Linked DNA regions of Drosophila melanogaster. The protein of the gene in region 2 interacts with the protein of the main gene of each other region in a pairwise test. Each region holds a gene or a part of one and is shown on either strand. Other genes may lie near its edges.

Region 1 (8,492 bases), 840 kb from region 2:
ATTGAATGTGGCAATTGTTGATAGTCTTGGCCTGCCTGTTACCTGGCTACCTCTGGGTGCAGGTGCAGGCGGTTTTTCTCGAGGAATGCAAAGGTGTGATCATCAATAAGGTGACCAATGAGAATCAGGAGTGCAGTGAGTTTGTTCACTGCGATGGCGATGATTCCTACTACTGCAATGGGGATTGTCGTGAGGCCGTGGAGTGTTATACCAATGTGGTTACCACACCGGTTACCACATTAAGACCCATAGGAACCTCTACGGAACGAGCACCATCCGCAGAGCCAGTCAATACTACATCTACGACTTTAGCTACTACCACGCCAACAACGATTGCTGTAACCACGACTACAAGCCAAGTTCCGAGCACCGATGTCTATGTCATCTGCAAGACGAGTGGAAGGAACGGGGTCTATCCCTATCCGGCAAATAGCAATTACTATTATCAGTGTATTTCCGGTTATCTGTTGCTCCAGCAGTGCCCACAGAATTTCCATTTCGATGTCGCCCAGGGACAGTGCGTTGCCACAAAACCCAATCGTTCATCGGGCTTACGTTTGTAAGATTCATATCCCAGTTTGTAATAAAGCAATTATCAAAGGCGTGTTCATGGGCAAATTATTTTCTGATAACGAAAGGTGGTAAGAAAACCCCAAAGTTTGCATACGCAATCGATCAGTTTACCATTCGAGATCGAGCTGAGAAGATGTTTGGAGTATTGAAGTTTGGATCCATCCTGGTGTCCCTCCTATTTCTGGCCACCAGTCATGCGGATGTTTTCGATGAGTGTAACGATGGTAACAACCTATCCTTTGTTACTTCGCCAAAGAGTTGCGCACATTATATCTTCTGCAACGGCGATGAGTCATACGATGGTGAATGCGAGGATGGCGAATACTTTAGTCAAGATATGGAAATGTGTGAGCCCATGGGCGATATCGACTGTCGCACGGGATCGGAGGTGCAAAGGGAAAACACTACCGACAGCTCCTCAACGGAGATTACCTCGGAGTCCAGTACGATTTCCACAGTTGTAATCACCACATTAGCCCCATCGGCAGTGGTCACATTACGACCATCAGTCAATCAAAGTGGAGCCAGCAGTACGACTTCCGTATCGCCTGCTATAGAGATTATTGTGACCAATGTGTGCCCACAACTGGATAATCAGAGTCGTATCGCATTGCTGCCAAATCAGAACTCCTGTTCAGATTATTACATTTGCTATCGCGGTGTGGCACTTCCCATGAGTTGTGCCACCAGTTTGCACTTTAATTCACTCACCGGAAAATGCGATCATCCCGAAAACGTTAGGTGTTTGGTGGGTTAACCTATGGTACTTCATATCTTATAATTTTTGTATAATAAATTATTTATTTACAGGCCATGACTTATAATCCCAGGGAGCAGTGCAAGCGACATGTAATCGATGTTTATCCGCATTCCGACAACTGCAATTACTTTTACCAGTGTCGCTCTGGCTATTTGATGGTCCAGCAGTGTCCTTTCTTCTACGGATGGGACTACGAGAAGCGATCCTGTGTAGCACTAGGTCAAGCCAAATGCTACAACAAGCTGCAAATGCAAATGAAAATTTATTAAATACACATAATAATATTTATTAAAAAAAAAAAACGAAATTTTACATTTAGTTAATTAACGAGCTTTGTGGAAAAATTGAAAATATTGAACATAAAGTGTTGTATGTTTACATATGGAATAAACCTAAATACTGGTAATCAATAAGACTTCTTTGTAAAACTATCAAGCAACACGGCCGACCTTGACTCTTTCCTAAATTTATCAGGTGATATCAAGCAATTCTTTCATATCTCTGCAAAATGAAGACCTTGAATCGAAACATTTGCCAAAATAGGCCAACCTTCGATTTGAAACATAGTAATTTGACCGATATGATACGATTTTCCTCACAAGGACAACATATGTCATCGTGATATCACCTAATCAATTTCCTAGCTAATCTCGGCTTCCTTTTCACCAGACTTTAAAATTAAAAATCCAGCATTAAAGTTGTATCTGCTTGCCATTTCGAGATACGATATCGATTGATTGCGAGGAAAGGGAGCCATATTTCTTTTTTGGCAAAACAAAATACAGGAGTCTTATCAACTTCTTCCTACAAGCAATTGAAAATGTTAATTTTCTGATACTGAGCCACATATGCGGCTGTATCTTGGCGCCGAATGTATCACATATATGCCAAGTTCACCGGGCATTACGAAATTAGAATATAACTGCGCTCTACTGGAGTCTGACGATAGAAAAAACGATGATGCTTAATACGGGTTAGTAAGATGGATATTCTCAAAACTAATAGTATGATGAGAATTTATTGGTTTCCAGCTTTCTATTTGATCGTGAACTGCTTGCTGGCCACAGCGCAATTAACCTGGAGACCATCGAAGCCCACAAACTCGGTGACCATCAGGCAGAGTGGTAGTAGAATATGTGCCAATCATTTGGTTGGTGAGTTTGTGGAGCATGCGGAGGACTGCCACATGTTTTACCTGTGCGTTGAGAACGGGGATGCAGTCCTGGCTTCCTGCCCACCAACGATGCTCTTCAATTCGGAGAGCAGACTCTGCGATTCGGCGACAAATGTAAAGTGCAGAAATGAAACGGATCCCATAGAGACTCCTCCATTCGATGGCGGAAATGGTGATGGAGATCCGAATAACATGGTCACGGATGCCGCCACTTATTGCTCCACGTTGGTGGAGCAACAACAATCCAGCGACAGGATTGTATATGTCGGCAGCTCGAGTAGTTGCAGAAAGTACTATATTTGCTACTATGGACAGGCGATCTTGCAGGAGTGCAGCTCGCAATTGCACTGGAATGCAATGACGGGTAAATGCGATATTCCGGAGAGAGCCCAGTGCACCGTAGGTGGTCAGGAGGATATGCCAACGAATGGAAATTCCGGTTTCCCATCCGGTGGCACCGCCATTTCGAGTGATCTCATTCACTGCCCCGCCTACGGACAGCATCTGTATCCCCATATGCAGCGATGCGAGTTCTTTATCTACTGCGTCAAAGGACACGCCAGCCTGCAGCAATGTCCTTTCTATTACTTCTTCGATATTGCCACCAAAAGTTGTCAATGGTCGCGCACGGCTCAGTGTGTGCGAGATTTAAATTTGGCACCACTAATAAAATAGAAGTTTTAATATATGTAGCATACAATTTTTTGAACTTTGGGAGATACCAAATGCTTTTAGAGAGGTTTCTTTTAAAAGTACTACTACTTTTAAAACTCCCGCCGATTACAGATGAAAACCAGAACTAATGTGTGTACACACTAACTTTCGACAACAATGTTCGATGAATCGGTTTCGATAAAGTTGACTATATGGCCACTGTTCTTTTTTGCGGTAGTCAGACACGGTCATACAAATCCCACAATATAATGTTAAATTAATCATATTTATACTTATCTTCATTTAAGTAAAGCGAAATATTCGATTGACCCTCGAAGTAAACAACCCAGGTGCTCAAAAATGAAGCTAACAAAGTTAGATTAATCGGTGTCTACGAATTATCTGGAAACACAAGCATTTCCCGTCATCTAACTCAAACTGCCCAACTCGAAAAATCAACAATATTTTTGCATCGGGCCAAAGGTGCATTAAAACCGGAGCCTCAAGTCTCGGGCGGCAGGTAATTTATTCAAGTTCAAAACAGCCACCCGGGGATTCTCCTAGACATCGGTTGCCACAAGAAAAGAAGAAGAATTAGGCGTAATCTTCTAGAAAATTGGTGATTTCAGCCGAGAATGTTTGAGAATTTTCGAGGTATTTTTCGGAAACGGCGTCGCTGCGAGTCGGACACAACACCGCCGCCACCGCCGCCGCAACCCGCCCAGGAGGCGGAGATAATAAACCGATATCCGGAAGATATAGAAGCCGATACGCCCGAGTCCAATGATGGCTTTGACGCCTCCTGGACCGAAGGCTCTTTTCACAGCCCACATTCAGATAGGTAATTGAATTCTGCGCATTCACGCTTCCTCTTCTCTCTTATTGCAGCTTCAAAGCAAAAACAGATAAAATTAAGCTTAAGCAACAGCATCAAACACTTCGACACCCACTCGAAAAAAAAAGCTTAAGACATTCCAAAAAAAGTAGCCAGCAAAGCGGCTAAAAAAAAATAAATAAGATAAAACCAAAACCCAAAACGAAACAGTAGGCAGCTATCCAACCATCTTGGGTGACAAACACTTGACCGGCTTTTTGGAGGGCGACAGGTTTAAATCAAATCTGGAGCAGCCGCAGGATATGGAAGTTGATGCGCCAACAACGCAGGAAACCAGTGACACTCATCATCATCACCATAGTACTTATCACCAGCAGCTGCATCAGATCTCGCCCAGCGATTACCACTCGGAGGCATCCATGAATTTTGATCATTTGCAAGACCTGAGGGCCGATGCCATGGCCTCCTCATCCCCATCCGGATCCGGAGGTGGTGGCAATGGCGGGAACAGCTCCTACGGACTCGTCGACGATAGTAGAGCTCTGGACAGGTTGTTATTCCATCATAACTAAAACCAAATCAGACACGAAACCAAAACAATACCACCGATTATATTCACACAACCTCGTAGCGAAACAAAAGTTATACGTTTCTTATCTATTATTTCTTCACACTACCAGCTACCAGCTTCATTCGAATCTTTTGTTCCATAATAGTAATGGTGATAGCTTAAAGTATCTGCCGCGAACGCCCACACAACTCTCAAAAGAGCTTTGTGTGCGAGCGCCTTTTCTTGTAGACATATTCTGGTTATAATTTCGTAGCTCTATAAGTGGTCAGTCGATCTGTAGCAGAGCGATCTAACAATCTAACGTTGCTTGTCTCGTTTCATGACTTAACCACTGAACCGCAATCACACTTAACCGACATGTGACAGACCATTTAACGCCAGCGAGAGGTAAATCTTGAATTTATAATAACCACTGAGCGTGACTAACCTTTGAGTGACTCGCAGATTTGTCACCATACTGGATAGTTTGGATGCACGTGTGGAGAAGCTGCGCAAGGATGCACTCAACCTGCAGGAGAAGAAAGACTACCTTCTGATGTCCATGGATCTGATCAAGAGCAACGAAATGATGCAGAACATGAGCGAAGGTAAGTGACAGTGATTCTTAAAACTAATTTGAACCCTCATTGTTCATAGCTTTACTAAAATGTGTATTATTTCGAAGTCGGAAGTAATGGTTTCTGATGACAAACTAAGTAAAGGGTTATTCATAGTTGACTGTGAGCTAATGTTGTACCACCTTCTTTTGCAGCTGAACGAGAGGAGATCATTTTGTACCTACAACGGGTGAGCTCTCGCTTGGCCACCGTGGAGCTGCGTGTGCGCACTGTTCGGGACAACTCTCAGGAGGATTCCCTTAGCCAGATAAATGTATTGATTGACAGCATGATCAAGATGGGTGATCCCGTGATCGGACGCCAACGATGCCAGTTTTACTTAAACGCCTGCTGCAGCAGCTCAATGGATCCATCCGGACACATGGACACCGTGCCCGAGGCCGATGTTGGGCCGGTCGACAAGAAGTTCGAGAGCGTTTTGCTTGGCTGCACTCTGGACGATCAGAAGAACATCAAGAAGCGGCTCCAGGCCTTAATGGCTTATCTGAATAAGCAAACTGTTAGCCATTAATTAAATTGTTTTTTGGTCTATTAACTATTCATAGCATTATTATCAAACCAAACGAAATACATCACCAAGCTAGATGAAACGAATAATAAAGAAAGCAGCATATACACCAGGCCAGCAGTGTTTGAATCAAGTAAAATATAATTTTAATATTTATATTAACAAACTAAATGTTATAAGCTAGGAAAGCACATGTCCTTCGCATTCAAGACCCGATCACTTAGGACCCATAATGCATCATTGGAGGTGAAGAAAATCTGCTGAATGTTCTTCGATGTGATATATATGATTTCGTTGCCCTCGGCTGTGATGTTGGCTAGTTTGGCACATCGTACGACAGCTCCGAATTTGGGGATAACATAGTACAATGTTCCGAAATTGTCGATGATCATGCTGCGACTGCTGCCCAGAAGACTGCCCAAATGTGTGAGTTTAATGCTATTGTTAATTGGTTTGCTTGCTAATTCGCTTTTGCCTTCAATTTCCAGTCTGTCCACCGTACTGTATAGATCACCATCCTGGTCGGAGAGTATGAGTTCCCCTTGAATTCCGAAGATGAAATCCACTGGCTTGATGGGAAACGATTGATTCATATTCTCGTACTTATTGCTCTCCAAGGATAGGCGGTGCCACGTCTGCTCCAGGATGTCGTAGGCTAGAATTTCTGGTACCTTTCCAAGGATGAAGTAAATATGGCGCTCGTGCTCGCATCCCGGACTCTTGGGTCCCATTTGGACAGTCAGAAAGTGGGTGTCATTAGCACCTATATGGTGTCCACAATCGATTCTCAATAGCTCCGCGTTGTTACGCATCAGATCGAAGACAAACAAACGGGGTGAGCACGTGCTGCCGGGAAATCCGATGTCCATGACCCACAGTCGACTCAGTGCATCCACCTGGGACCAGTGTGCCTGTTGTACCAGAGAGCAATCATCATGATCCCCCATGGAATGAACATCGATGTGGGGAAAGACGACAGTGGGCATGGGAAAATAGGAAACCGGCCATTGCGCCTCGATCAAAGTGGGCGCATCGTTGCTTTCTACATTTACGCTGAGAAACACTCGCGAAAAGTGCATCGATAGATGACGGACTTTGTAGCTGGATTCGTTTAAACCAGATTCGGATAACAGCCAGGCGTCCGTGGCCAGAATTAGACCAACAATGAGAAATCCCAAGCCGAGGACACCATGTGTGACCATCTTTAAACGCGAATTCAGACTGAGCTTAGGGCTAGAGAACTCTGCTTACGTTGTAAGTGCCCGTTCAAGAAGTCCACCAAAGTGTCTACATCAGCAGTTGGGATCGGGTGTCGCCGAATATATCGGCGACCTGCATTAATGGGGACCAGCATTGGAGTGTTTCTCTATTCACTTGTGGTCCCAAAAAAAAAAAGCTTACCAATTTCAATCGGAGAATATCGAAATCATGACACAGTTTCCTCTTAAAATTACCCAAAATTGGATTGTTATATTTTTCAAAATAAATCAAAGTTAAAACCAACAAAATGGTTGTTTTGTACCACCATAATAACCTATAATAAATAAATCATAATAAGGCTATTTTTGTCGAACTTTAGCGATATTGATAAGGTTCCTGTGAACTGAACCTACCTTAAGTGCTTAGTTTTAACATAACCTTAATGTTAACGAGTATTTCTTCGCGTAAAAGTACAAAAAAACCCTATCATATCTTTACAGCCATTATAAAGATTGCTTATAGATGACTGATTTCACTTGGGAATTGCCAAAAAGCTAAAGTGAACCCCCGAGGAATCAATTAATGTTGTTTAGCTTTCAGTTTTTAGTACATTCGTATTTTTTTAAGTATTAAAATTATTTAATCACACGAATAAACATTAAGAAATATTTTATTCTGGAAACTTTCTTCGTTATAGAGCATTTATCGTTGTAAAAAAAATAATTTCATTAGTTTACATTACATTTTCGTTTATATGTTTAGATTTTTTCTAATTAAATGATATTGTATAATTTATTGCAAAAATTATAATACTCACTTCAAATAATCTGAAACAAATCCACCCACTCCGAAAAATGTGGTAAGCTTTATTTTCTAACACCTCTCTTCTGATTTTATTGATTATAACTGGAATCTTTATCGGTTTCTCTCTTTTTCCATCAGTAGGTTGAGAGCTTTTCATACTTTTCACGCCGAAATGGGAAAAATGGCACTGCGCGTAGAGTCAGTTATCCATTTGAGTTGGCCAAGATCAGATCGAAATACGCTAAAATCATTTTCGGGAGCACAATCGAATACTCATACAACACACACTTCAAACGAGGATTATCATCATGTGCAACGCCATTTGTGAATGCCTTAAATGTCCTGGCAAAGTTATTTGCTGGTAAGTTTCCATCAGATTGAATATCCTTTTAAATTAAGTATTAAATAAATAATTACACAAAAATGGATAGTCGACTTTAGGCTTTTTTTAACTATTATGGTTTTACCATAGAGATAAGGTTTGATGAAAAATCCCCCAACAGCGTTATTTTCGTGGTATTTCAAGTACTATTCCTGGTATTGGCAGCTTAATTGACAACTTTCCACTATCAGCTAATAGGTTTTTTTTTTATAGAGATTGCTAAATCCTCGAGGCATTACAATACTCTTCATATTGAGCAGAATTTCTAGAAAGCTCCTACCATAGTTAATGATCAATGATAACAGGTATATTACTTCCTGCTCAGTAATGCCTTAAATATAGAAAGTTTGTTGTTGGTAAAAACCGCTTCTATTGCCACAAAGTTGATTGTTGTCTTTAAACAATCTAGAACGG
Region 2 (7,330 bases):
GTCGAGAAGATCGCCGTCAGGACCTAAGAATTGACCAAGAATCCCGTCAAGATCTGCTCCAAGACCTGCGTCAAGATCTGCGCCAAGATCTGCGTCAAGAACTGCGCCAGGACCTGCGCCAAGATCAGTCCCGAAACCAAGAATCTTTGCGAGACTCGAGTCAAATCCGGGAGAATGCTCGTCAGATCTCATCTGATCGCGATGGCGATGATCTGCGCCTGCGCACCGTCTACTCCTTGGCTGATCTAAGCTCCAGCAGTTACCTGAAACTCGGCGACTTGGCCAGTGCCGAGAAACTGCTCGAGGATCGTTTGGACAACAGTGATCTCCGTGTGCCAATAGGTGCCTACTACACCCTGGTTTCTCCCAACACCAAGTACAGTGTTACCACGCCCACGGAACTGCGAACCCTGCGCCCAGTGGCCCTTAGTCGCAGTTTGTTGGTAAGCAAACGCAATTAATGGCCTGATGATGCGGATCGTGGTGATGGATCAAAGCCGGCTAATGATCGTGGAACAAAGTGAGGAGTGACTATGACGTGTTTCCTAAGAATAAATGCAAGACAGAGCACCATTGTGCCAAAAGTAAATTTTTTTCCATTTTTTCTTTGGTGGCTTATACTGTGAAAAGTGTGAATATCTTTATCTTATCTGAAAATTTAAATATTAGAAATGTGATTGATGGCTTAAGTGATTTCTAAGCCATATACTTGTGTCTTTTTCAAGGATTTTCTATAATAATGAATCTGAGATATAATTTAAATTTCCGATTTGCATCATTTATTGCTCAACAATTAACATATTTTTTGCGAAGACGACCAATCCAAAGATTAGACTACTGGCAGGTAGTTCCTCGATGGAACTTGGGCCTGCGTCTTGGTGTGGTAGTTGTACACGAATCCTGTGGTGGTGGGCTGGTAGACATATATCGGCTGTGAACGAACAGCGATGGGAGTTGGATTCGGTATCACCAGAACTTTCTTCTCGGCGAGCAACTTGTTGCGCAGCTTCTCGGCTTCGAAACGCTTGAAGAATGCAACCTTAGCGGCGGCCACCTCGGGAGTGTCCCGAACAGGCTGTGGACCCACGGAGTAGTCTCCGGCCAACCTCAATTTGGCCTGGTTATGGGCCTCCAGATGCTGTGTTCGCAGTGCAGCCACTTCAGGGGTTTCCTGATTGGCCTGCTGATTGGGCAGATTGGAGGTTACATGGAAGCCCTCGGCATCGGCCACATAGTCCACGGTCTGGGTTTCGCCATTTGCATCGATGTGGGAGAAGGTACCCCGGATCACACCATCCACGGTGCGGGTCTCGTGCTTGGAATACAGTGGTGCCATGTAACCATAGGCGTACTGGCCATGCTCATCCTGGTGGTGATACTGACTGATCGTATCCGAAGTTGGTGGGGGACCGTACTCCAAGGTTGGTGAACCGACGGCCAAACCGATGGTGGTACAAATCAGGCAAAGATTAAGGAAGTACATCTTCTCAAGCGTGGCTGTTTAAGATAATTGAGGGTTTTTTTTAAATTTTTTTAAGGCGCTGCTAGTGTGGTGAACTAGTACTCGCTCTAGAGAACTCTGTGCTGGGATCGATTGGGGATTCTGCCTTTTATAGGCGGCGCCTACTGCCAAAAATTTACAATTTCGTGCGTTCTCAGGAAGGTCGTCCGGTTGGGTTTTACTTTCATATTCCACCAGGCTGGAGGATTATTGTTCCTTTTTCCTCTTCCTCTGCTTCCTCGCATTTTCGTACATAAATATTTTGTCGATTTCGATTTCAACAAGTTCAGCATAAATTTGAGCACAAAAGCCGCAATTTGTTTTCATCTGCGCAAGGGGCAGCAACACTTATGTACATACATGTATGTATGTATCTTATAGGTATCGCACTGCATCGGATGTGGACATGTACAGAGACAAGCAACAACGTTCCGCAATGCCACAAAGCAAGAACTTAATCAGGCTGCTGGCTGCTCTTCAGTGGCTCCGGATGTGCACTGAGAGAAAGTGGAGTTGAAAAATGAAGAAAAATTATGAAATGAAGAGAGGTTGTAATTTTTTAATTAATTAAAAAGCTAAGACTTTCGTTATTTTCGAGCTAGAAACAACGTTATTTAAATAATTAGTGTCGAATGATAACCAAGAGTTACCATGTTTTAACAGCACTTTTAAACTTTTATAAAAATGTGTCATACTTATTGGTCATTTGTTTCTCTCAGTGTGAGCTGCAAATCATCCGGATAGGGGTCAAGGAACCGGGTGGGGCTATAGGACACGCCGGCTACCAATTCCAGTTTTAGTTATTTAGGTTGTTGCCTTTGCCGTTGTTTATGCTGCTATTAAATTTAATTGAAATCAAAATTCGGCCCACATTTATGAAGAGTTTATGCTGCACATATGTGGAATGTGATCGGTGGGTCGGGGGGCCAAAAGGTTGAGGTAGGACAGGGTCCGAGTGAACGTGTTCCGTGAGTCCAGGAGTTGGGCAGCTAAAGGGTTCAGTTCAGCCGGATCTTGAACTTTAGGTGTCGCGAGTTTAGTTATGATTATATTCAAATAAAGATACAAATGTTAAAACTAGAAATTATAAAGAAATTTGTTGATTGAAGAATAATTTTAGAAAGAATACTTAGAAAGAATATATTTCGAACAAATATTGTGTTACCAAAATGAATTTGCTAAAAATTTCTTTATATTATCCCATTACCACTTCAAAAGAAACGTTGCAGACTGATTGACAATTTTTTAATTTAAATTCGAAATTCTTAAATAATGAACCAAATCGTGCGAATTCAGCTGCCATTCAATAGTAAAATCCGGGGGTGTAGTACCTGGGAATGGTGTAGCCGTAGACCGGAGCAGGAACCACGACATGGTGGCTGCGAGCCACAGCAACTGGAATCTTGGCCAGCACCTGGTTGCGCACGCCTTCATCGTGGACGCGTTGAAGATGAAGCGACTTGGCCGCAGCCACTTCTGCGGTATCAGAAACGGGATGAGGCAATTGGGAGTGGCCACCATGGGATCCGGATGGGTCTGAGCCAGAAACCGGGTGCTCGTGGTGTTCGATAGAATGGGGCACCTCTGGATGAGCACTTCGACCGCTCTCAACGACAGTGTGATGATGAGGAACCTCAACGGGATGGTTGCCAACAGGATGCTGAGCTACAGCAACGGGGTGCTCATGGTGCTCGACGGGATGATGTCCATCTGGATGAGCACTTCGGCCGGTTTCGACAACAGTGTGATGATGTGGAACTTCCACGGGATGATGGCCAACAGGATGCTGAGCTACAGCAACGCGGTGCTCGTGGTGCTCGACGGGATGATGTCCATCTGGATGAGCACTTCGTCCGCTTTCAACAACAGTGTGATGATGTGGAACTTCAATGGGATGGTGGCCAACAGGATGCTGAACTACAGCATGCGACACCTCCGCGTGATGCTCAACATGGTGGTCTACTGGATGCGACGCGCTCCTGGGACTAAATTCTAGCGACTCCTGGGGAACTTTAGCCTTTGGCAGATTAGTGGCTGCCACATGGAAACCTTTGTTGTCGGCCACATAGTTAACCGTTTGCAGCTTTCCCGCCGCATCCCGGTAACTATAGTATCCTTGGGTGATTCCGTCTAGGGTGCGGGTCTCCTGTTTGCTGGACAATGGTTCCGAATAGCCATAGGAGTACTGACCCAACTCATCCTTGGCGATATACTGGCGCTGGGTGGGCGTGAACACGGCGGATCCCTCGGCAGTGTACGCATAGGGATAGTACAAGGCCAGTCCGTGGGCCAAGCTGAGGCTTCCTAACAGCAGAAGTGGATACTTCATGGTTGGGCAGTGGAAGATTGCTTCGAGTGAGTCTTGTTCGTCAGTTCACTGGTAACTGTTGATTCTGAGCCTAGGTCTTCATCCTTTTATACCCAGCAGGTTCTTTCGCGAGTTCTAGGTTCTGGTTCTGGCTGAGGTTCCTGCCGGTCAGATGCTTCTATTCTGATACACTGCGAAAAAATTCTAAAAGTATGCCATATTATTATCTAAGAGAGTATACAAATGTTTTATGCTCTTTTACCCTAATATAGTAACGTGATTTTTATGACTTAAATTAAATCCAAAAATAAGTAGTTCGTAATTTGTTTAATAATGATTTGTACAAAGCTTAAAACATAAATTTAAATGCATATAAATAATAATATTGCTAAAAAAGACTGTTCTTAAATTCCTGAAATTTTAATTTTATGATTATGACAATCATTAAAAAAATATTTTATTATTGATAAAAAAGGTGGTTTATTGTACTTAAATAGAATTCATCAAATTTGTACAAGCACACGTATTTCATTAAAGAATAACCTAATAGTAATAATATCTGTCACATTTTAAAATAGTAAACAGCCAATTAATTTTTTCTCCAAATGTATCCATCAGATGCACTTCAATGCAAACGAGGAGATGCGAATGCGTCGTCGTGTCCACTTGTGTCGTTAACGGACATTGCAGCTCCGCCTTTCACTCCCCTTTTGGGGATCGACGCCTCGTGAAGGCGTTGTCAATTTGGTTTAATTGTGGCCAAGGCTGGAGTGGGCCCAAATGAGGGAGGCAGACCCTGGTTCTCCGCAGCGGGAGGAGCAATCGCTGCCTGGCATCTCCATCTGCATCTGCATCTGGATCTGCAAGCGAGCCAAGGGCCTTGGCTGGGTGGACCATCAAGGCCAAAGACCGCATCCAGACCAGCGTGTAATTGATATGCAATCGTTGTTGCTGCCACAGCATTGTGGCATCTCAGCCTCCTTTTTGTTCGCACACTGCAACGGGGCCACGACAACAACAGCAACTTCAACTGCAACAGCAAATGCAACAACTGTGGCAACAACCGACGACGACAACAACGGCATCTCAAGGTGAGTGAAGGCCAAGGGCCACATTTGGCCACAGCTTGGACACGGGAGTCATGCACTCCAGTGGCGAACAAAATGGGGGTCTTAGGGGGGTCATAAGTACCCTTAAAAATTATAATACTTGGTTAGATACATATGTATGTACATAAGAAATATATGTTTTATGCGAAGAGCTTACAAATATGACACAGAAAAGGGTTAATTAAATCGTTAAGTCCGCTAAATAAATAATATAATGTGAATTTTTAGACACCTTATAGTATACACTGAAGATATATACTTATTTCAACCGGACACTAAGAAAACCCCCTAAGAATATGTTTCCCATCCGCCTCTGATGCACTGCAGCTGCATTGGTATCTCCTGTTCCTCCTTCGCTGGTCATTTTTATTTTTAGCAGCGGGCTTATCGGATGCCTCAGATCTCTGGTGCTTAAACTTCGCTCCCGATTAGGAGGAGGAGGAGGAGCAACTGCAAGAACCACATTGGATTGGCCTTGACGGCTCGGCTGATAAGTGCGTTTTAATGTTAGCCCCGTTGGCACTCAGTTTCAATCAAAGCCCAATTCTCTACAACCATTCCAGCCTGGCTTAATGAGCTGGTTAGTTCTGGCCTGGAATTGAAGTTGGATTGGCAATATAGTCCGGTCCACTTGGTTCACTCCCTTTGTTCTGTCTCGAGTGGACTGTGCCCTGATTTGTGTACCACCATTGGTTCTTTGAACTGCCTTCGTGGCTAATTAAAGGTGCACTTAAGATAGGCCAGGTGGCAAGAATCATGTTTTTCATTTTTCAGGACTGGGAGTACTTTGATTTTATGTCCTAGAAAAAAAGAGCAAACGAATCAGTCTAAAAGGTATTTCAGCTGTAAAACATTCCATAAATATAGGAAATTTAACTCTTTCTAATTTTAATTAAAGAATATTCTAAACGTCATCTGGTCAATAAACTAAATGAATATTGTAGAATGAAATATTTAAATTACATATCAAACATTGTATATTAAATAATAATAATCAATGGACCTCTGTTTGTAATACCTAATGCTTAATTTACGAAATTAATTAGAAGTCTCCTCAGGGTATTTCGTTTTCCAAGTTAGTCTTTCAGTTGCTTTGTATTTTGGTTTTGGGCCAGGGCTATGACTTCATCGAGTTGGCCACAAAAACTTACCAAATTCTTCCGACCGTCAGTTCTCATAAATCAATGTCAAAGGTTTTTTTTTCGTTCGTTTAGGGTTTGTTTTGGGTTTAGGACGGGCTTGTTGTTTCAGTATGTGTTTAATCATTTTATGGAGTGCGAAGTAATTTCCTTATGATTTCCTATTTGACTTTTACTTTTTCCTGAATGTCCAAAATAGAAAAGTTCAAAGAACCCATTTACCTAGTAAGGCGGTCGACAAATCTTAACCGCTTGAAATAAGTACTCATTTGCATAGCTAAGCATGAGCTCACTGGTTAGTATAGCCCAAGTCACACCCCAAAAACACGTCTAAGTAAGCCCAAAAGATACACCCTTCATTATTCGAATTGTCTGGCACTTGTTGTGTGTGTTTTTTGCCCAACAATTTCACGCATCGTTTTTTGTTTTTTTGCGCTTAAACAAATTTACTGACTACAAACTCACTGTTTTAGTAGCTCAGACTGTGTGGCGAACCCCTCCCCTTCTCTTTAGACAATATAAAATCAGGAAAAGCTTTAAGCTTTATTCCCTAGAATTTCACTCACAACAAACCAAAATTTTGAGTGTAACTTGTTGGTTTGATAAGATTCTGGTGTGTAGCGTCACTTTTGTTATTCTGAGTTGTTTTTAGGTCTCGTTTGTTTCTTTTTCTTTCTGATAAATGGCTTCGTCGTGTGGCTTTCGTTGTTAGTTTTCGTGTATAAAATTTTGCGAAATGAAGTCATCGCTTGAAAAAAAATTGGGGGGTCAGTAAAAGTGTCTATAAGATCCAAATCGTTTTCCTTATCTCATTCAGAAAGTTTTGGAATTTATGTTAGCTCACCAACGATTTGCCATCTTTTCTTTGGATAAAATGCTAAGGAGGATTTTCCTTTTTGAGTTTCTATTTCACTCAGCGAAAGCTCACTCAAAACAAAAATATCACTCATACGCCGCTTGGGCCTTCGCTAGCCACTGGCTGCGCATTTGTCCAAACAGTTGAGTTTCGACATCGCCAGCATTCGCGCGTTTGCCTTAAAGTGATTGGAAAATAGCCGAGGAATAAAACAAATATTTTTTTGGAAATATATTCAAGAATTTTTGGAACTTTTTTAATAACAAATGTAAGTTGGAAACGTTTCGAGAAAAATAATCTAGTTCGTTGGATTTATTTTTTTTTTTAAAATGTTACTGTATCCTGCATCTATAAGCAGACTCCGAGCCAAGGATATTTTTTTTATTCATTTTATGAGTAGCAGGTTCATATTTTCAA
Region 3 (8,720 bases), on a different chromosome or scaffold from region 2:
ATTGAATGAATGTTGTGAATATTTTTGGTAGATATAAACTTATTACGAAGCGAATTGTTTCAGTTGTTTCCATTGTTATGTTTGAACATAAGTTTCTTAAGAGATGTACAAATACATTGATTGTTAACAGCGAACCGTGTTTAAATCTGAACCATCCTGATTTCTCTTCGTGTAGCCAACCCTCTTAGCATTTGGCAACAGTTGGCCTCGGCCTCCCATATGGCCCTGCTCTGATAGAGTTATTACCAAATGTACTGCTCCTTGGCCAACTCTCGTTCGCACCTCTATCGCTCGGCTGCCACTGCCTTTGCCACTTCCTCATCCACTTCCACTCCAATTCAGTTTCATTCTCAGTCAGAGTTCGAGGACTGATCTCCCGGCTGGCTAATTCTCTCATTTGCTGTCTCTTGTGCAACTGTCGATGCTTGATTTTCGCTTGTCTTTATGATCGGCCTGCCGTCTTTGATCTTGACGCCGATGGACAGTGGAGGATGAAATGAACTGGACGGGACTGAACTGAGCTGAACTGGACCCCTTTCCGCCCGATCGGATCGCGGGTAATGGGCAGAGAAGAAAAATGCAACTTGAGCTCAATTAGTGCTCATCAAAAGCGTGCAGGCAACACCTTCAGTGCGTCGCTTTCGCACACCTCTGCAGCCGTCGTGTATCTGTGTACCTGGGTATCTGGGCATCTGGGTATCTGGGTATCTAAGTATCTGAGCGTCTCAGATACTGATGCGAGTATATGCTGGCCAGGCGTCACTTGCTCTGACTTTGGCTCTAACCGAACCGAGCGAGTCATGCAATTTGCTCGAGGGGTGCCCCATGATGACGGACCACCCGAGTGGTACCGCTTGAAATGGTATAGCCCTATATGGGTAGAGGTGTCCATCCCGGAGGGTCGAGGGCCAGTGAAAGCAAATCAGGCAGTTAACCAATTTTGAGGGGCCACCACGTAAGTTCGGCTAGTTTTCTGTAGTTTTCGCTGGCTCATATTAATGCAAATGCTTTATGGTTAGCCGGCACGCAAACTCATATTTCTCTGCCACTTTTACAACTGGCGAATTATAATTTTTAATAAAATATTTGAAGCGCAACCGTTAATTAGAGAATTTATGCCGAACGCCGGCTTGTCAACTTGTTTCGGCTGCTCGGAGGCTTTTTGCAATATCTCATGCATATTTTATGCGACGTTAGAACAGTTTGCGCCCGCAGTCATTTTTCTCGATTTTATTGAGGCAAACGAGTCTCGCCTTCTAGCATTCAATAAGCACATATGCGAATCACATTTTTTTTTATAGTATTAGTATTTGCCGCGCTCGGTGTTTTAATGTCATTAACGAATTTTGTTGAAACGCTGTGCAGCTATTAATCATTTGAAATGAATTTTATTTTTACACTTTAGCGGAATTTCTTTTTGTCTGCTTGATTTATGTGTAGTCTGAACTGGGAGCTTGTTGACTTTTGCCAAAGGTTTTCGCCTATTGAATGGGATTCTTGGGAAACATTTAAATTGAATGAAATTGCAAGTGCAATTGATCAATTTGCGCATTGATCGTCGGAATGTGCAGTAGATTTGTGCCTAGCTGGCAAGGAACTCAAATGAAACCTTGGTATTTTAAACAATTTGTGCTCTCCAGCACAATAAACTAACAGAGAGATTGTTGTTATCCAAATATCTGTGTGCTAAATTGTTTTTGGATTTTGATGCACGCAGCACTAATATTTTTTTATCAGCAACTAGATTTTTAATACCCGGCGATCTGGAGGCAAATATATTTGAACAGCAATTACGGGGCAAGTGGCCACTAATGCGAAAGATGGAAATCTATCTGGCACAGCAGATATACATATACGTATTATCATTGTAGGGGGCGTTTTAAGCCAAGGCATGCCATTCTGAATGTCACGTTGTTCGGAAAGTAGAATCTCGAAAAGCCATTACCCCACCTATTAGTTGCGATGGCATATGGGACATGGGAGCACCATTTGTGGATGTGGACCGGTTATGGATCGTTTGATTTGACGTGACTGAAAATTGCCCTCTAACAGCTCTGACTGGGATCCATTTGCATGGTAGTTAGCACACAGGCCGGCCCACTCTCCGTGCGAATTTCCAATTATAACTATAATTTATGCTCAATCCGCCACTTATTTACATTTTCGACTTTGCTCCCATTCGAAATTAAGTATACGTCTAGTTGAACTAATTAGCTCCGACTCTTTGGGCAGCCTAACAACTAACACCCGGCCAGCGTTTTACTATTGTTATTTGGATCCGCCCCGCCCCGCGACCTCAGCCCGCATTTTGTAAAATGTTTACACTGCTATCTGTCAAATCAACTGTCAACCCGAAGAGCCATCATCATTGTGGCCGAAGTGTGTGTGTGTGTGTCTAGGGCCTGTCAATGTATCTGGTTGCGGTGCGTTTGTGGTTCATGCTCGGCTGCGTCGCAGTCTTTGGGTCTTCTGGTGTTCTGGTCCTCAACTGCCATGGCCGCCGCCTTTTTGTCAAGTGGGAAAAGTTTTAGTAATTAAATTGTAATTAGGGATGCATCCGCCGCTCTGTGCCGTTTGTGCGTTCAATAACGCGGCTGTCTGTGCCAATTGTCTTGGCGTTTCATCAAGCCCACATTTCAGCGGCAGCCACCGACCGTGCTGATCGCCCCACGACCGGGCTTTCTTTGTGCCCAAGTCGCCATCCGTTTGCCGGTATACCCTGTAAGAGGGTAGTTCCCCCAGTAATTATCCACTTTCCATTTTCAATTGGCGGAACCATAGAAATTCTACATACTAACTGAGAAAATGTAAGGAAACCGTTCTACGATCTAAAAGAAAGAAACCCTTCTGGCAACATTCGACTCTGCTGAAACGTGTTAAAGGGTACCCATTCTTCGGTGACGTAATGTGGCAGGTATCTACGCGTAATTGACAAGACCTAACGACAGGTCCATTGTTCAAATAGCTGCAACTTTTCAGCCATTTTCATTGTAATTATTTTGTATGTGCTGCCTGGGCCTCTTTATGGCTTATCTGCCGGCAATCGTCATGAGCGGTGAGCAGGCCCAAGCCCCAAGTGGGGCTACGATGGCGTTGCAATGGGAGTTGTCGCTGCTCCTAATTACCAGGCGGAAGTGTCTCAGATCTTTCCCTCAACTGGCCGGTTACGGCTTTTGATCAGCCGGGCAAATTGCAGGAGGCAGCCGTAGAAAGGGTTCAGTCCATGGCCAACCTCGCGTCTTCTCTTCCACTTCCACACCGGATGCTGTCTTGGGAAAAAGCAATACAATTTTCGCAAACTGCGGCGCTTAAGTGCAGCTCGGCGATAATCATAATCATCCCGGGCGGCACTCAATGCCAGTAGCAGTTGATCAACCGATCAAATCAGCTGGTGCTGATTAGATGGCTCTGTGGCAACCGAACAACCCAACAGCTCAGCAATCCGGCAATGCGGCAATCTAGAGTGGAGCACGAACCAATTGGCTGATGTACGTGCGGCGCGTAAATTCAATTTCAGTAGCTGATGAACAAAAGCGCAGACCATGGGTTCGCTGATGGATTGCTGGTCAGTGCACTCGGAAAAAATATGACAGCCGCTGTGGGAAGATATTTTAATAGACATTCATGGCCAATATTGTTTTACACCGAAAAATGATGGAAATTGATTTGCAGATATAATAAATAAAGAAATGTTCCGTTCAGGATATTTTTAAATACTCTTAGTTAGTTGTTTGTACAATAATTTGTATCAAGGTGATGTGTTTTCCAAACGAAGATATTATGAGGAATAGTTTTCCCAGTGACTCCCGGCAGTTTCTGTTTTTATTCCGAGTGTGGGATAAATCGGTTTGCGTCTGCGACTTAACGAGAAATCAACGCCGCTAAGCAAATTATGCCGAACGATACGCATGCGCCAAAGCCATCAGACATCAGCCATCAGCTGGAGTCTGAGTTCGAGTTGGAGCAGCAGCTCGCCGCAGCTAGAGCATCATCATATGACCGGGCTGGGGCCTTCGAGTGGATCTGGGTATGGGTATGGGACTGGGACTGGGTCTGGGTCTGGGAAAGGCAATTGCCATCAAAGGCGATGCCGAGCGAGCTGCCAGCCGGCTGGCCTGAAATTGATTTAGCCACCTCGGACGAGCAGGCTGACCTCACTACTGTTTTTACGCCTTAAGCAGAATCTCATCAAGACGTAATGACAACAATTGATCAATCGCTGGCCAGGCTAATGGTTATGATGGGTCTCGTTGGGAAATCAGTTTATATTAAAATGTAATTTGATTGCGGTTGTGCACACAGAGGTGAACGCGGAGTAAGTAATTCTACAGTTTGTGGATATTTTTATGTTGAAGATATTCCAATCATATATAACAAAAAGCTCATATACTCAGGGGTGTTGATAAAACTTGAGAAAAAGCTGATGAAATATCTATTATCTCTGCACTATAATTTTGTTTGTACTTTTTTACATATAGTAAATATGAAGAATATGATTTTTGGTTGTCCACTGGGTTCCGCAGTTTAAAAGCAAAGTCTTCTTCTGTTTGGATTTAGAGGAATATATTTTCTCTTGAAAACTACTCACCCTGCTCTTCGTCAAAGTTTTTGGTGGACAGCTGGAAGAGGGCATCCAAGGGAGTGTCTCCACTTGATTTGCTGGCCCCCTTTGGTTGTTCCTCGGGCGACTTCTTAGGAACCTCCATTCTGTCCTCTTGGGAACGTTTTTCCACTTTTTCCGCCTGGGTGGGACTGCAGCATTCGGTGCTGCCATTGCTGCTGCTTGATCGCTGGGAACGCTCTGAACTGCCGTCCTCGGAGGCAATGATCGCGGGATTCAGGGTCATCTGCCGGAGGAGTTGCGCCTGTGCCTGGAAGTGCTCCTGGAGCTGGCGCTGGTAGTCCCAGGCCAGTCGCTGCTCATAGCTGTGGAGCAAAGCGGGCGATAAAAATGTATGTAGTGCAGCCGGCGGAGGGCAATTCGGCACCAAGGGTATTTGCAATCTTTCGTTGATCAGAGCCAATGGAGCAGGTACTCCTGGTAAAGCATTGGGAATGGCAATTCTCTCCGGCTTCTTCTCCACACGATCCTCTTCATGCCCTCGCCCCAGGATATCGGCAATGGAAAAGCTCTTGACCCTGACGGGTGATGACTTTTGGCGGTCATGTTCCAGGCTAATAGGACTCCTCAAAAGCCGCAATCGTTTCATATTCAACGATCTCAGAGGCGGTGGACTGGGCGAACCCACCGAAACATCAGAGTTAGCGGGACTGGGAGTTCTTTGCGGCATCTCTAGGTGTATTTTCCTTTGGCCACTCAGCACATCCTGGCTGTATCCTTACGGCTTAGCTCCAAACTCTTTTCTACGGGCGATTAAAAACGCGTCGGCAAAACGCGCGGCTGTCACACGAAAAACGTCGGCACAACGTGCAACACAAACACCAACAACGAAAATGGCTCGTGGCCAGAATGCGATGCTAATGCTGCTCGGCTCTCTGTCTCTCTTTCTTGGCCAAGCTCTCTCAACTGCTTTTTGGGGCCTCCAAACTGGTTGGCACCCATGACGTCACGGACTCGCGCAGCTGCGCAGCTTGTCTAATTGGAAACGCCGCCTCGCTCTCGCCAAGGGGGCGTGCCAGCAGAAAAGAGAGAGATGGAGAGAGGGAGAGCTAACCAGAGGACCAATAGCAGTTGGTCGAGGGCCATACAGACCCCCTCACCCGACCAAAAGTCGCTGTCAACGTGCGAACGTCATTAATTTGTACAATTTGACATGCGCTCTCTTTCCTCCCTCTCTCTCTCTCTCTCATTCTCGCTCTCTCTCTGGGGCGGCACTATTTCCCTCTCTTTCCCGTCGCTTTCCAGGCGACTGACTGCGTTAATTATCGTAATTGTTGGCTCACCCGCTTTTTCGCAGCTCTCTTTTGGCCCACTCAATTGTCATCAATAATGATGTCTCGTTGTACCGTTGGCTTCGACTCCTCATCTATTTTCCACTGGAAAAACAAGCCTCTTCGAATCCGTGTTTCGAGACCTCTGATGCACTGGGAAAAACAGTTCCCCGAACTGACAATCCTTCGTTCAAGAACGTCTTTTTGAAAGAGGTTTATTTGTCATAAATAGATGTGCCTATGAAAAATATTATAGTAATGTAAAAATGTCTTTCTCCCTCAAACTTCCTCAACATAAATTAAAAAGCGAACGAATTCTGCACCTCAAAAGTAATAACCTATAAATGGCACAACATGACAGTTACTTTGCTCTTCACATTTATTACTTGTTAACTTGAGATCGTTGTTAGATCTAATAACTAGCTGCATCTTGTTAGTTAGTTAGTTTCTCTACACACAATTTATGATTATATTATTTTATATTTTCCCATTTATATTTCCATTTGTTTAAGTGCATTTTGCTGGCACACATTCGTTTGTCTTGCCACTTCCCTCGCTTCCCACTCCACAGCTCAACTCAATGCATTTCCAAATTGATTGCAACTTTGGTCCGCTCGTTGTATCACGTATGCGCCCTGTATGCGCCTCGCTTCGTTTGTTTGTCAGTGTCAGTTTTTTATTCAATTTCGCTCCGCTGTTTGTCCTGGTTTTCTTTTTTATTTCTCGCTTTTCCTTGAATTTTGCATGCAAATGTCTATTTAACTGCATTGCGCCCTTTGCCGGTGGGAATGTGACTGAAGAGTCGGCTAAGTGAAATGATGTAACTGGCGAGCCGTAATCGATAATGGGTTCTACACTGCCCTTTGAAAACGAGTATAATTGATTATTTCGAGATGGGAAAAGAAATCAGGGGAAGTGGCAATTTCAACAAATTTGTGTTTGTATCTGTTTATTAAAGCGCGGAGCATCAATTACCAATGATTATTGGGCTCATCAAGGGCTTACAACAAATTGGACTTTTACACTACATAGTATGGGCAAATTAGCTTTTAATGTTTAACGTATAAAATTACAAAATAATAACTTGATCCAGCAAAAGTACACAGGTACCCAGCTGACAAAATGAGTAGCACAGTATGTTAATATAAAATCCAGTTTATTCAGTCTCTTGAAAGGGTGTTGTTTAGATGTATTTTACCCGAACCCTACATCGCAATTTATGACGCTGAATTTGCATAAGGGCCCTTCTCCAATCCCTTCGACTGCCCCCTATTTTGGTGGCAAGATGGCCGCGATGTTTGATTAATGCCTACACTTGACTGACTAAAGTTGACGAGCCAGGGCATTCTCTCCTTTCGCTTGCCTTGGAAGTGAGAAATTGACGGGGCTTGGGAACATTCGCTATCGCTATTGCCTTCATATTCAAAATCAATTATAAAACGACTCTTAATTGGGCGCCTCAATAGACGAGACACGCCCTGTCAATCATAATTAGCCATCGCCCCTAGGAAGCGAACCACTCGAGCCGGCACTCAAATCCATTCCCATTCAACCGATCCGACACGCCTCTAATTCTGCAAATTCATAAGCCAAATGTATCGGCTCTATATCCTTTCATTAGGCGACCCAAGATGGCGGACCCGTGTTCATTTAAACCTCATAAATAGCAAAAGTGTTTATTGTCGCATCTGGCAAGCCCAAATCCCCGGAGAGCTCTCTTCACCACGGTCCTCGTGTATTTGTGTACATTGTCATATTGTCATATTGCCCGGGGCGGGGATGGACGGGGGTTTGAGCCGTGGCTTCTGCCAGGGTGATCGGGGATGTCGGAGCAGGAGTCAGTTGTTAATAAAGTCATTGCCGTTGTGTCAAATTCGTCACGCCCCTTCGGCGACTTCGAGAGTGCTGCTGGCAGTGCATTAATGTCGCCCTTTGTTTTGCCGAGTCGCTCCGATCCGATCCTCACCAGAGCTCGAGATCGAGTTCGCTTCCCGTGGCTGACGATGATGAAGTTGTGCCAGCCAGTTGTCAACAATCAGCGCTCAGCGCTCCCAAAACTGCATGCCAATTATAGCCAGTTCGCAGCTATCCTCAAGCCAACCTCAACCTTTCAGCTGCGCCCGAAAGAAGAAGGAGAATCTGTGACGAATGCGCTTATGGCCAAAGCGATCCTCGCCTTATCATCGAGTAATCTTCGACACTTGGGACAGCTGTCAGCGTTTTGCCAACTCATTATGCAGATTTCGACCACAAATGCGACACGAAAATGTCGAAAACAATTTACTGAACGCGACGAACAACATTTGTCAATGCGGATCGGATCCGTCTGTCTATTAAGACCAGCACCGGAGATCCCTCAACTTAAGTAGTTTGGCGAAGCCGCAAGACCACACAGAGAGAAAATATTACAAGCCGATTTTGTTAAATGAATCTAAATCCTTATCGATCAGGTTGGATATCTAAAATAATTCTACAACAGTTATATGTATCTGTTAAACGAAGCATATCTGTAATTACAATTTCATCTTCGATGTATAAAAGAAAGAGATATAAATCACACAATTTCTCTCTGTGCAGATACGATGAAACTTAGCACGAAGTGACACCAACAACCGACTTTCGAGCTACCGCATAAAAATTATGGCCTGGAATGAAATGCCCCAGCGTTTATCCACAAGATACACACAAAAGTGCCGCGCCCTGCGGCACGGTTGAGAATGGACCTCAACCGAAGTTTGGGGCAGTGGCAATTTGTATATCTTTGTGATAAATCAAAACATTATCAATAATAAAATCGGTAGCCGTTTGCCACTTGGAAGAGTTTGGGG
Region 4 (7,673 bases), about 10 Mb from region 2:
TGACAGCAGAAAATGTTTTTGTGGCTTGATTTGATTGCAGGCGAATGTGCGTCTCGAACTGATTGGACCAACACGACGCACAGTAAACAGGGCTGGAACCGAATAGAAATCTGAATTGGAATCAGAATCGGAATAGACATCGTCATCAGCCGATTTGTTAACCAAAACAAGGGCTCTAATCCGACTAAGACTAAACTGGGAAGCAACCACAAGATCTACCACCATCACCACTGACCCTCGGGCCTTGTTAGAACGAAGAGTGCGACCCTCGTTCGCGCATTTTTAATCCGTTTAAATGAATGACAGTCTAATTGGAGGATTTGGCAAACTGGAGGACGAACCAGGACCAGAAGGCACCTTAATAGTGACAAAGTCCTTGCCATATGCTTCGAAAAAACCACATGTTATTCACGGTATTTAAACAAACAGAAACAGGGGCTGTCGAAACCGACAACTACCCTCCAAAATACTCCAGTTCCAGTTCGAGATTCGGATTTAGATGCAGCCCTCCAAGGAACAAAGTCCTCCAACCCTCATACAATTAGGTTCTCGTCCTGCTCACATGAAATCCAATTCGAATTTTTATTTAATGCGCGAAAAGCACTTGATTGGATCCGGAACAGGACTCGAGTTTTAGTTTACTCCGTACTCTAGGGACATTGCGAGTCCTGAGGGTTGGCAAGTGCAGTATGCAATATAGTAAAACTCGATGGAAACTTCCACTGCGCCAGCTCAACATAATCCACTGAACAAAAAGCTTTAAAGATTGTGATAAAACTTATCGCATATCAAATATTAAAACCCGTTTATGTGATACCCGATGCTATCTGTTTAACCTTATGAAATATGTGAATACCATTTGAAAATGTTATAAAACACAATTAAAGGTATTAATAATATTATGTATATCTTTTTGTTTGAACTTGAAATTTAACATGCAGAAGTTCGACAATTTTACTTTTCTGTGCACTTAGTTCGCTTAGATCTCCAGGCAGCAAGAAGCTGTTTCCTCCAGGATTTCCACACAAAACACAAAGATTACGGGAGACAGGCAGCACATTAACATCAACCGAGGCCACAATCTCCACGGAAAAGGTGTCTGCTGTCTCCGGAATAAACGTAGCCAGCTCTACGCTAAACTTGAAGCAATTAGCATTTACATTTTGCTATCTTACCAAGGATAATTGAAACCCGGCGAGGATGCTATGCCCGGGCATAAGGAGCACGTAGCTGTGTCTAAACTTGAGTCGAGAGATTGCCATCTTAGTTTTTAATTTGCTTCCTGGGACATTTCCTCGCTTTTGCTCGCATTTCCTTCGGTCTCGACTTAATCACACAAAGGCAATTTCACGCCTTTTTGCGCTTTGTCTCGGCCTGACAACGGGGCAATCACTTTGTCACTTGGCAGTTTGATGTATCGACAGGCGCTAAACCAAACAACCAACCCACCTAAAGTTCCATCCCCTGGCTCAGTGACAAGACAAAATCATCTAGTTAGCAATAGAGCGAGATCAGCAGGGGTAGATAAGCCTTTGGGTTTAGTGGAAATTTTGTGCTCGATTTGTATATCGGAGATTTTCATTAGTTTGCGCTGAAAATATTTACTGCAATGAACTGAGAATGTGTTCGGGATTTTCACTTGACTTCAATTGTGCACACGTGTCACATATGTGAGAGTCCAATTGAAATGGGGGTAATTTCTGGTGAGATGTGACAATAAGTAATATATTGAGGAAATTGGTCCGATGTAAGATAAGATAACTGATCAGATATAGTTTAACTTACTCAGACTCCAGCATTTAATAGGCTTGGGTAACCCAATTAATTCTTATATATTTTAAAATGATTTTCCATAAGCTTTAAGCATCAACTGCACCAAACATTTGAATATCCCATTTTATTTATCAATTTAAAATCACATCAGCCCATGGGTTGAGCTTGCATTGTTCGATCGGCAATTAATTAAATACAAGCTAAACAATATTTTTAATGAAATGGCCATGTTGGAAGGCAATCATGTGTTTAATATTAATTTCGTCGACAGCCAACATGGCGACCATGCGAATTATAGGCTCCAGCACACAGATACTCAAATGCACCCATACACACACACACGCACACTCGCACACTCGGCTGTTGGCTATAAATATTAATTAAAAATGCAACTCATATGGCAAGTGGAACAATTAGCACCTGAAAATATGCAAACATTAAATTGCCGCTGCTGCAGCCACATGGCTGCAAGCAAAAAGTGCAACAAAAGAGTCGAAAATTTAAATAAAATATACATACACCCCATAGCTGCAAACCCTGTTCACGACTGACCATAACAGACACATATTTTGTCCTGGCAATGGCCACATCCTTGCATCCGGTCTGCCAGGATCTAGGGTCTAGCCGGAAAAAAGGGAAATAAACGGGGGATCAGAACGAGACGGAAAACGAACGGAAGGCATTGCACAATTTGCTATTGTTGCATGTGCATATTTACTGGGCACTTGCCACTTTTTCCACATAGCGCTAACTTAACTGACAAATAAATATTTCGGTATGTTGAAAGATTTCGACGCTCAACAGTCGCCTACAAAACGGGGGAACCCCAATTCCAGAGCGTGTGTGTGTGTGTGTGTGTGTGTAGTTGGCAATATGTAAAAGCTACGCGCAGCATATACTCAAAATCCAAGCCAGCAGCAACAAACGCAACAAATACACCAGCACAAAACATGGCCACATATTCACACAATCTCGCTGGAACTGCTAAAAAATCGACAAAAACAACCTGTTCGGAAACACTTGCAACAAGGACATCACCACCGACAGAGACGGGCATAGAGCCAGACAGAGAGGGCAGGTCCTGCCATATTTTCGGGGTGGGTGTGAGAGGCAAATCGAGAGAGAGAGCAAGCGAGAGAGCGGCCAGGATCAAGCACCGCCTCCTTGCGAAAAGAGATGAGTGCACAGTGGGCGGAACAGGGAAAATAATTTAGTAAAATATAATGTTTTGGTAAAAATCTAAATGGAAACCATGCGAAAAAGTTTTATTTATTGTAAAATATTTGAAAACATTTACCTAATGAAGTTTAAGCGCAACTACTTCAAGATATTCAACTCTTTTGAATGAATAAGAGTAACTTCTCATATAGATGACCCTAGTTTCAAATCCTTCTAAGTTTAATCAATTAAGTTTTTTAAATAATATCACACAACTTTAACAACAACATTGCCCATTGTACCAATGCATCACATACAGCACAACAAGGTTTTCGAACAAGCCAACCTGTCCGTGAATGCTAGCCAACCAGGAGTCGTCCTGGCTAGGACTCGCACAATAAAACCACAGAATATGTTCGCCAACTGGCAAAGCAGATGGAACGCTGGAGAGACGGAGAGTGGGCCAAAGAAAGAGAGAGAAGACCGCTGGAGAAAGAGAGGACAAGCGGGAGTGAAAGAGCAAGAGCAGGAACATAAGGGTGGTGCTCTCTGCAGGACCTGAATCTGAACAGACTCCGAGCAGAATCAGGACAGATGGGCCAAGTGCCGCGAGTGCGGAGAGTTGCTTTTTCCCAATTGAATGGGACAATATGAGAATACGAGAATTCCAACTGGACGCGGTGGTTGTGGCAGCGGGTACTTAAAGAGGAACAGATTGCGGGCGGCCAGCAGTCGAAACTGGAATTTCGAATCGCAAGGAACTGTATAGAACCAAAGACCCAAAGTCCCTACCAGAGCCAAGTGAAAGTCGAAAAGTGTATTGAAGTGAAAATGAATCTGCTCATGGATAGCATGCCGTCGCACGCGAATCCTGGCCAGCGTCGCCCAACGCCGCCTCAGCACGCCGAGCTTAGGATCTCCACATCACCGCAACAGTCACCGCAGCAAAATCAAACCACTAATCACAATAACAACAATGAGACACCCACATCGCCACCGGGTGGAAAGACCACTCTTAAACGCGCCTTCGATGTGGCCTTCCTCATGATGCCCGATGAACGGATTAAGCAAAAGCAGGCCGAGAAGCAGGCTCGCCTTCAAGAGGCACTGCACCATCATCACCACCAACAGCAGCAGCAGCAGATGAGCCACTATCCCACAGATTTGTCTCCTCGAGGAACCTCCTCGCAACCACCTTCGCCGGCGGCACTGGAGTACATTAGTCTGTTGGAGGCACGCCAGCGGTATCCACAGATCAGCATCCGTTCGCCGCGGGTTTATGATGATCCCAGTGTGGTCATACCCCTGGTGGATTCTCCAGAGGCACCATCAACTTCTTCACCACCACCGCCCATGCGCAGCGCTTTTACCAAAGTAGCCTCCTCGTCGCTGTCCACTTCATCATCCTCACCATCGACCACTTCACGTTTGGAATCACCCGTGGATGCGGGAGCTCCGCCCTTGAGTCCCGATCAGCTAAGCTGTCACTCGATAAGTCCACCATTGGTGACACCTCCACCAAGAACCAATAGCGGTGGCCAGAATCCAAATCCCCTGCCAGCAAATCCCATAGTCTACCACAACTTCCGACCGGAGTATCAGTTCAACGGAGCCTTCCAGGCGGTGAATCCCATGCAGGCTCTGCAGGCACAGCAGCGCCTTAAGCAGCAGTTGTTGTACACCCGTCCACCAGGACCTGGAAATCCCAATGGAGGAGGACCTACTATGCAGGCAAACTCACCACCGGGTCCACCGTCGGAGTTCCTGCATGCCTATCCCGGATTTGCTCCGCCACCACATCCATTCGCGGTATCCCAACCTCTCCAGAATCCCGCTGCAGCAGCCATTCTCTCCACGTTGATTCCACCCACATTGGCATCCACTTTTACACTGACCGCTCAGAATGTGTGCGCCAAGTGCAACATAAGTTTCCGGATGACCAGTGATCTGGTGTATCACATGCGATCCCATCACAAAAGCGAAGTGGCCTGCGATCCAAATCGACGGAAGCGGGAGGAGAAACTCCGATGTCCCGTCTGCCAGGAGACTTTCAGGGAGCGACACCATCTAACGCGACACATGACCGCCCACCAGGACAAGGCCAGTGATCACCAGCCGCAGCTGGAGGACTCATCCTCATCTGCCGGTGACAACGAGATCATCAACGTGGTCGGCGGCACACCGCCAGGTCGCCGAATGGGTGGTATGCCCAAATGATCGAAGCATTTCTTCGGATATTTTTAAGTCATCAAGTCAACTAACTCCCCAAAAACAAAACCCGTTGCCCATTTTCGATTGTGATATTAACTTTAGTTTCCCCCACGCTCCGATTTAATTTCCCCTTAGCTTTAAATGTAGTGCAATTTGTATCTTAAATATGTAACTGGATCTCCCTGTATCTCAATTAATTATCTTTCTTATCGAAGGACCCGAAAGGATCTTCAGTTTCATCATTGTAAGATATTATGGCTAAGTTGCAAATTCAATGTGTGGCTGAATGTTTCAATAAAAATCTAATTGTTATGCCAATTCAATAGTAATCACGTTTTATTAATAAAATTTGGGTTAATGGGAAATTTTATCTTGTAGTAGATCTGAAGTATTCTAAAATCATGTTATGAAAATGAGCTTGAGGATTATTGCAATCAAATATTTTTGAAAAGCTTAAACAAAAGCCAATGAGTTGTCTATGCTTTCGAAATAATGTGATTAAGCTTATATAGACGCCACCTTAATAAGAAATCCCAAAAGACAACCGAGCTTAAAATTCAATTAATTTTTGAAAAAAAGAATCCCAAACCAGGGATTCTAGAAGACGAAGATATCTTGATTTGGCAGCATATGGAGTTCTTTGAATTCCTGGCCGGACAACCCATTATTTCGATTGTGAGGTAGACCGAAAACATAGGCTCCCAGGACCAGAAAAAGCACCAGATTTTCGCGGGTACCAAAAGTAACATACGCCATGTTAGTAGAGCGAAGAATATGTTCAACTTATTAGCGCAGTGAGGCAGTGAATTCTGTAGTTGCGATTCAGCAGTATTCATTTTGGCCGCATGCAGCAATTAGATGCGGCCACAAAAACTGCGACGCCGACGCTAATGAGCTGGGAACCGAAATTGTAACAAGATGAAAGGATACTTCGGGGTTGTCCTGCGCCCAAAAAAGGCAGTCATTCGTTTAGACGGCGCGACGAATACGACGAGCTTCCAGGATAACCCATCATCGCGGAGTACTAGTGCAGTTTTTGGCAAAAATGTATTTCGAATTTCAATATTTCCACACTTGCCAACCCTCCGGAATTCAGTTCCCATGAGCCTCGAATTTGTAGCGTAGCAAATTCCTACAAAGCGCAACGAATTCCTTGGGTGGTGGCTGCTCCCCCAGCGATTTCCTTGGCTCGTTGCTGCACTCAAATGAGCCACATCGAATTGCGTTGATTTAGCGTGGCCAAATCCTGTTAGCCCCGTGCCACAGAAGCCAAGCAGCCAGCCAGGATTCTCACAGGACGTCTTCCTGCCTTATCGACTGATGTATCAATTGATGGCATCGCTAAACGGCAAACGCTCTGCTCCGATCCGCTCTGCTCATTGTTCCCATGATGGGATTAGCATTTTATGGCTTTGTGTTCGCTGCTTGCCACTTGATAAAGACATTTTCCAAGCTCCTTTCACATGGCTGGAGTGGGGGGTGGAAAACAATTGCTGGGAAAGTTAATGTAAGCAAATTGGTGTGGAGCATTAAGGTGAAGAGATAAAAGGACTTGGGGTACAAGGTGGTAAGCCTGTAAGGAGCAACACCTAAAATAAAAGCTTATTATCAATAATATTGGAGTAATAACGTGTGCAAATCTATCAACATTTCTAATCTAAGTTCCTAATAATAATGGTAATAATTTTCATGATGCCGCAAGTATTGTCTTGATTTTAACAGACATCTCACTAGCTCAGTTCTTTTTGCCAAAATCCTGGCTGAGGCAAAAAATTTGAAGACAATTCAAGTTTTATTTTACCGCCCATTCCGAGATATCCCGTTTATAGTCACTCGTCTTGATTTATTTCGTGCATTTCCCCAATGAGCAATTCAGGCTTCCTTTAAAAAACAATTACAACTTCCGACGCCCTCGAAAACAAACAAGCGCCACCCATATGAACTTCCATTGCCGTAAAGCGAACACATCGTCAAAATCACATTTCCCCATTTCATTTACCCAAGGAAGCCACCGCATCCAGAATGGCAAGACAGACAGTTCCATGGCAGCCACTCACTCAAAACGACGCCGAGGGCGACCACAGATTCGCCAACACGAAGGCAACTCCATAATAAGCCTCATCATCATCCTGGCTGGGTGCTACATAATAGCAGCCATAATCACATTTCATATTTATCACATTTTTACGCCCACAATGGCAGATCCGGGGGGATCCCATTGCGCAGCGACCTGCGCCGCTTTGTTTGCCTTGCCTAACCTCGCAATTTGACCGTAAATAAATTGCCTGCTCATTTCGGTTACCCCCAAACTAAGCCAACTCATCCAATCCCCTTGACTGAAAATCGTGTTCAAATACGTTTAAACACAATGCAAATACCGTCATAATAGCGGTAGCAAGAAAATCCGACAGCTGGATTGAGCCTGAACCGTGAGCCGTGGGCCTTGGCTCCGCCCCATCGTCAACCCCCCTTTAATGGGCCACCCGTGCGTATGAGTGATTTCTGCTCATCTGCGCTTAAAAGTATGCAAA

The links.
Region 1: the proteins of Cpr72Ea (region 2) and CG7945 interact in a two-hybrid assay, tested with the Drosophila melanogaster proteins (one large-scale study listed by BioGRID).
Region 3: the proteins of Cpr72Ea (region 2) and lbl interact in a two-hybrid assay, tested with the Drosophila melanogaster proteins (one large-scale study listed by BioGRID).
Region 4: the proteins of Cpr72Ea (region 2) and CG13287 interact in a two-hybrid assay, tested with the Drosophila melanogaster proteins (one large-scale study listed by BioGRID).

The regions. Positions count from the first base shown.
Region 1 is NT_037436.4:15,519,022-15,527,513, reverse strand, and holds CG7945 (uncharacterized protein), read left to right. Parts: upstream 1-3,376; 5' UTR 3,377-3,681; exon of another isoform or gene 3,682-3,796; coding exon of another isoform or gene 3,797-4,002; intron 4,003-4,049; 5' UTR 4,050-4,298; coding exon 4,299-4,546; intron 4,547-4,933; coding exon 4,934-4,954; intron 4,955-5,011; coding exon 5,012-5,154; intron 5,155-5,318; coding exon 5,319-5,695; 3' UTR 5,696-5,803; downstream 5,804-8,492. Other genes in the region: CG42729 (uncharacterized protein), read left to right, coding at 6-563; CG33985 (uncharacterized protein), read left to right, coding at 707-1,321, 1,384-1,602; CG33986 (uncharacterized protein), read left to right, coding at 2,291-2,306, 2,365-3,182; yellow-k, read right to left, coding at 5,866-6,894; mex1 (midgut expression 1), read left to right, coding at 8,005-8,057.
Region 2 is NT_037436.4:16,359,150-16,366,479, reverse strand, and holds Cpr72Ea (cuticular protein 72Ea), read right to left. Parts: upstream 3,878-7,330; 5' UTR 3,831-3,877; coding exon 2,805-3,830; 3' UTR 2,730-2,804; downstream 1-2,729. Other genes in the region: Cpr72Ec (cuticular protein 72Ec), read left to right, coding at 1-461; Cpr72Eb (cuticular protein 72Eb), read right to left, coding at 830-1,483.
Region 3 is NT_033777.3:21,428,677-21,437,396, forward strand, and holds the start of lbl (ladybird late), read right to left. Parts: upstream 5,458-8,720; 5' UTR 5,292-5,457; coding exon 4,589-5,291; intron 1-4,588.
Region 4 is NT_037436.4:5,878,645-5,886,317, forward strand, and holds CG13287 (uncharacterized protein), read left to right. Parts: upstream 1-3,659; 5' UTR 3,660-3,762; coding exon 3,763-5,148; coding exon of another isoform or gene 5,149-5,175; 3' UTR 5,176-5,446; downstream 5,447-7,673.